Linked DNA regions of Macaca mulatta. The protein of the gene in region 1 purifies or fractionates together with the protein of each later gene. This does not show direct contact. Links are inferred from orthologs where the notes say so. Each region holds a gene or a part of one and is shown on either strand. Other genes may lie near its edges.

Region 1 (2,701 bases):
AAAGTGATTGCCAGTTGAAAGCATGGGAAGCATGTGAGATTATAGTGTTAGACCGTGGACAGTGTTACTTCTTGTCCAAGTAGTTTACTCTGTAGGAAAGGCATTTAAAAATTGATAAGCCAAGGTGTTGGACATGAAAATGAAATCATTTTTCTTTTATTTATTTATTTTTTTTGAGATGGAGTCTCGCTCTTTCACCTAGGCTGGAGTGCAGTGGCGGGATCTCAGCTTACTGCAAGCTCCACCTCCCGGGTTTACGCCATTCTCCTGCCTCAGCCTCCTGAGTAGCTGGGACCACAGGCGCCCGCCACCTTGCCTGGCTAGTTTTTTGTATTTTTTAGTAGAAACGGGGTTCCACCGTGTTAGTCTCGATCTCCTGACCTCGTGATCCACCCGCCTCAGCCTCAGCCTCCCAAAGTGCTGGGATTACAGGCTTGAGCCACTGCGCCCAGCCCATTTTTATTTTTTAAAGTTAGCTGGGCATGGTGGTGGGCGCTTATAATCCCAGCTACTCAGGAGGCTGAGGCAGAAGAATCACTTGAACTCGGGAGGTGGAGGTTGCAGTGAGCCGAGATCGTGTCACTGTACTCTCCAGCCTGGGGGAACAGAGTGAGACTCCTCAAAAAAAAAAAAGTTTAAGACTACCTTCAGTTCTTACTTCCCCAGTCTATATAACTGCACTGCATGTTCCGTCAAGTACAAGTGAAACTAGACTAGCCAAATTAATAATGGTCATTTTTGTTCGTTCGTTTGTTTTTGGGAGACAGAGTTTAGCTCTTGTTGCGCAGGCTGGAGTGCAGTGGCACGATCTTGGCTCACAGCAACCTCTTCCTCCCAGGTTTAAGTGATTGTCCTGCCTCCGCCTCCCGAGTAGCTGGGATTACAGGCATGCACCACCACACCTGGATTTTTGTATTTTTAGTAGAGACAGGATTTCACCATGTTACGCTGGTCTTGAACTCCTGGTCTCAGGTGATCTGCCTGCCTCGGCCGCTCAAAGTGCTGGGATTACAGGCCTGAGCCATTGTGCCCGGCCTAATGGTCATATTCTTCATGAAGCAAAGGAAATTTTGTAGTGGCCGAGTTTGGTGGTTCACGCCTGCAATCCCAGCACTTTGGGAGGCCGAGGCAGGAGGATCACAAGGTCAAGTTCGAGACCAGCCTGGCCAGCATGGTGAAATCCTGTATCTGCTAAAAAAAAAAAAATACAAGAAATTACCTGGGCATGGTGGCGCACACCTGTAATCCCAGCTACTCGGGAGGCTAAGGCAGGAGAATTGCTTGAACCTAGGAGGCGGAGGTTACAGTGAGCTGAGATCCCGCCACTGCACTCCAGCCTGGGCGACAGCGAGACTCCGTATCAAAAAAAAACTCTCATATCTTTCTTGATTCTTGTGAGTAGTAATATTTTTCTTTTCTATTCTTGATGTAGATGACGGTGGATATTCCATGAATTTTAACATGAGTTCTTCCAGGGGACCACTCCCAGTAAAAAGAGGACCACCACCAAGAAGTGGGGGTCCTCCTCCCAAGAGATCTGCACCTTCAGGACCAGTTCGCAGTAGCAGTGGAATGGGAGGGAGAGGTAAATGTTCCATGTATGACAATCTGTGCTACTACTGTAACAAAGAATTGAGAGGTAAATGATGCTTAAAAGTTTAATTGGCTGGGCGTGGTGTCTCATGCCTGTAATCCTAGCATTTTGGGAGGCCAAGGCAAGAGATTGAGACTATCCTGGCCAATGTGGTGAAACCCTGTCTCTACTAAAAAAATACAAAAATTAGCTGGGCATAGGGTGGGTGCCTGTAATCCCCGCTACTTGGGAGGCTGAGGCGGGAGAATTGCTGGAACCTGGGAGGCGGAGGTTGCAGGGAACCGAGATGATGCCACTGCACTCCAGCCTGGCAACAGAGAGACTCCCTCTCAAAACACACACACGCACACGCACACGCACGCGCACGCACACACCCCCCTAGCTTTATTTGTGGAGTCTGGGCGCGGTGGCTCACACCTGTAATGTTGGTACTTTGGGAGGCTGAGGTGGGCGGATCACGAGGCCTGGAGTTTGACGCTAGTCTGGCCAACATGGTGAAACTCTGTTTCTACTAAAAATACAAAAATTAGCCGGGCACGGTGGAGGGTGCCTGTAATCCCAGCTACTCCGGAGACTGAGGCAGGAGAATCACTCGAACCCAGAAGGCGGAGGTTGCAGTGAGCCGAGATCACAGGACTGCACTCCAGCCTGGGTGACAGCGAGACTCCATCTCAAAAAAAAAAAAAAAAAATTTTGGTCATGTGTTCTAGGTGATCTAGATAAATGGAATTAGCACTGAAAAAAATTTAAAATGTGAATCGGAAATTCTAGAAAAAATGAGATGATCTAGCCTCCGTAATGTCATCTTTGAAGTCAGTCTCGTTTTCATAGCCTGAATGTAAGTTCACGTTTTAACTTCTTTCTCTGACTGTGTTTAAAAAAAGTGATGTAATTTTCCTTAAGCTCCTGTATCACGTGGAAGAGATAGTTACGGAGGTCCACCTCGAAGGGAGCCACTGCCCTCTCGTAGAGATGTTTATTTGTCCCCAAGAGATGATGGGTATTCTACTAAAGACAGGTAATAGAAAATTGCAGCTTTTTAAATTAATAATTAAGGTTGAAGGAAAGCTTATCAAAAGCATGAACCAAAACTTTTGTGTTTGTAGC
Region 2 (3,657 bases), on another chromosome or scaffold:
ACTGGAGATCTGTTTGTTTTGCAGTTAAAGGGTAAGGGGGCCCTTTCTGGAAATTTTTGCTTTATTTACTTGTTTACCTCTGGCTTATATTGTTGTGTACGGCCGGAACATAAGCTGTCCCCATATTTAAATGTCAGTGCACAAATACATTTCAGAACCAAACAAAACTTTTTTGTTATTGAGTATCCATCATTCTTTAAATCACTTCACTGATTTCTTTCATTTCTATACATAATCAAAAATTGTTAATAAAAGTTAAAAACGATTCTGAGTCTGGTCAGAATCCGCGGCTTTCTCTTTCCATAGGCAGCTGTAAGTTTATATTTATGCATAGTCATATATAACGTTGCTAAGTAAAAGGAAAGTGAACAAAAGTTGCAATTCAGATGTTGATAGTTTATTGACTTCTATTAAATAGGTATGCATAAGATGACTCCACCAATTAAAGATCTGCTGCCTAGACTCACCCCCATCTTAAAGAACAGACATGAAAAAGTACAAGAGAATTGTATTGATCTTGTTGGGCGTATTGCTGACAGGTAAGCAGATTACCCACACATTTTTATAAGCAGTATCAATTTTCAAATTTGGCCACTTTGTATTCAATTAGCAAAATTTTCTTAATGTCACTAATATAAGTGTATATGATTAGGCTGTCTAGTATTAATATTTTCAGTCAAATTTCAATTTGGATGGTAATGGGGTGGCCATGTAATTTTAGGACTAAACCTGTAAGACTAACTCTTCAGCCTTTCTGAAGAGGAATAACTCTTATTTAATGCTTAAAATGAGTTAACAATCATGTTTTTAGAACTGAATTTGCAAATTTATCCTTAAAACTTTTCCTAATGTCACAAATAATATGTGTATTTTTTAAATTAGGGGAGCTGAATATGTGTCTGCAAGAGAGTGGATGAGGATTTGCTTTGAGCTTTTAGAGCTCTTAAAAGCCCACAAAAAGGCTATTCGTAGAGCCACAGTCAACACATTTGGTTATATTGCAAAGGCCATTGGGTGAGTGTCACTTACTTCCATTAAAAAAAAAAATTATAATAAATTCGTTGTGGTGTTGAAAAATACTTCATGTAGAAATCTCTTTTGAGGCATGGTCTGAATAATGCAGTTGAGAAAGCTCTTCATTTAACCATTGACCTTCTGATTTTTGGAATGTATTCTTAAATTCAATTTGTGTGTTTGTTTTTTTTTTGAGACGGAGTCTTGCTCTGTCACCCAGGCTGGAATGCAGTGATTTGATTTCAGCTCACTGCACCCACCACCACCTCCCGGGTTCAGGAGATTCTCCTGCCTCACCCTCCCCAGTAGCTGGGACTATAGGCATGCGCCATCACGCCCAGGTAATTTTTGTATTTTTTAGTACAGATGAGGTTTCACCATGTGGGCCAGGCTGTTCTCGAACTCCTGACCTCAAGTGAGCCACCTATCTTGGCCTCCAGAAGTGCTGAGATTACAGGCATGAGCCACCACACCCAGCCTGTAGTCTTAAATTCTTAATTGAATTAAAATAGATGGAAGGGTTTAAGATTTACTTTAATTATACTTTAGGTGTTTTCAGGGAGGGAAACAGTACCATTTTCAGAAAAATACAAAATGTGTACTGGTCTTTTAGGATATTGCTTAAACTATTAAGGCAAATTTTTAGTCTCACAGCATCATTTAAGTCTCATATTAATGCTTTATGTGTTTTAAAAGTTGTATTATGGATTGTTTGAGCTCAGGAGTTTAAGGTTACAGTGAGCTGTGATTGTGCCAGTGTACGAGACCCTGTCTCTAAAAAAAAACAACAAAAATGCTATTCTAACATTACTCCACGGATTTAACTGAATTATAGCTGCTTTGTGAGATAATCTATGGTTGTTTGCTTCCATTCCATCACAACTAAAGTAGGAAAAAAGTCATTATAGAAAACGAGACACGGCCGGGCGCGGTGGCTCAAGCCTGTAATCCCAGCACTTTGGGAGGCCGAGATGGGCGGATCACGAGGTCAGGAGATCGAGACCATCCTGGCTAACACGGTGAAACCCCGTCTCTACTAAGAAATACAAAAAATAGCCGGGCAAGGTGGCAGCGCCTGTAGTCCCAGCTACTCGGGAGGCTGAGGCCGGAGAATGACGTGAACCCGGGAGGCGGAGCTTGCAGTGAGCTGAGATCCGGCCACTGCACTCCAGCCTGGGCTACAGAGCGAGACTCCGTCTCAAAAAAAAAAAAAGAAAAGAAAACGAGACACCACATGTCCATGTGGCTTAAGAAAATGTGTTCAAGGAATATGACATGTGAACGTCTGATTAATTAGGTAGAATTAACCAGACCACACCCCCTCCCCTAACACACACTAATTTCTCTCCTATTTTGGTAGCATAATATTTATTTCAGTGGTGATGGAGTCAAGAAATTTGTAGTGAATAGCTGTCATGCAAGCTTTTAGCCCCAATGTCCCTCTAAGTTTATGTCAAAGAAGAGGCAAATAGATGCAGCAAATTGTGTGGGAGGGAAGATAAAAGAAAAGAGATTTTATGGCCGGGCGTGGTGGCTCACGCCTGTAATCCCAGCACTTTGGGAGGCCGAGGTGGGCGGATCACAAGGTCAGGAGATCGAGACCATGGTGAAACCCCGTCTCTACTAAAAATAGAAAAAATTAGCCGGGCGCAGGGGCGGGCGCCTGTAGTCCCAGCTACTCGGGAGGCTGAGGCAGGAGAATGGCGTGAACCCGGGAGGCGGAGCTTGCAGTGAGCCGAGATTGTGCCACTGCACTCCAGCCTGGGCGACAGAGCGAGACTCCGTCTCAAAAAAAAAAAAAGAAAGAAAAGAGATTTTATATGGTTTATAATGGGAGACCACAATTCAGATATTCCCCTCACCACTCCTACCTAGTTCTAGTGCCCATTTTGACAACTCAGAATTACTCACTTTAAACATTTAGTTAAATTTCTTTATATTTCAGAAAGTTTAAAAACTGAAAATTACATATGAAAATTAATTTGAGTTAACTTACTTTTTTTTTTTTTTGAGAAGGAGTGTCACTCTGTCACGCAGGCTGGAGTGCAATGGCATTGTCTCAGCTCACTGCAACCTCTGCCTCCCAGGTTCAAGTGGTTCTCCCACCTCAGCCTCCCAAGTAGCTGGGACTACAGGTGTGTGCCACCACACTCGGCTAATTTTTGTGTCTTTAGTAGAGACGGGGTTTCACTATGTTGGCCAGGTTGGTCTCGAACTCCTGACCTCGTGATCCGCCTGCCTCGGCCTCCCAGAGTGTTGGGATTGCAAGCGTGAGCCACTGCATCCGGCCAAAATTTTTAAAATTTGTACAGCTGTGACCTCTGATCTTCTCAGAGTTAACTTTTTAAAACTGACCTTTTAATTTATATGAAATTTTAATGTAGAAACAATGCCAGTGACTTGGAAGTATTGCGTTTTATAAAATTACTGAGTTCCCTGTAATTATTAATATTTAAAAGTTTTCATCTTTATGCATTTTTTCTTCCATAAATTTTTGACTTATAATGTAACAGCTTGTTGACCCATTTTTTTTTTCAGCCCTCATGATGTATTGGCTACACTTCTAAACAACCTCAAAGTTCAAGAAAGGCAGAACAGAGTTTGTACCACTGTAGCAATAGCTATTGTTGCGGAAACATGTTC

The links. The genes of interacting proteins can lie anywhere in the genome.
Region 2: the proteins of RBMX (region 1) and SF3B1 fractionate together in Homo sapiens (co-fractionation; 3 studies listed by BioGRID and IntAct, with this or other methods). This does not show direct contact. The link is inferred for Macaca mulatta from reciprocal best matches to the Homo sapiens genes RBMX and SF3B1.

The regions. Positions count from the first base shown.
Region 1 is NC_133426.1:143,218,653-143,221,353, reverse strand, and holds part of RBMX (RNA-binding motif protein, X chromosome), read left to right. Parts: intron 1-1,432; coding exon 1,433-1,585; intron 1,586-2,497; coding exon 2,498-2,612; intron 2,613-2,700; coding exon 2,701-2,701.
Region 2 is NC_133417.1:102,334,229-102,337,885, reverse strand, and holds part of SF3B1 (splicing factor 3B subunit 1), read left to right. Parts: exon of another isoform or gene 1-31; intron 32-418; coding exon 419-539; intron 540-882; coding exon 883-1,014; intron 1,015-3,552; coding exon 3,553-3,657. UniProt on the Homo sapiens protein: Component of the 17S U2 SnRNP complex of the spliceosome, a large ribonucleoprotein complex that removes introns from transcribed pre-mRNAs.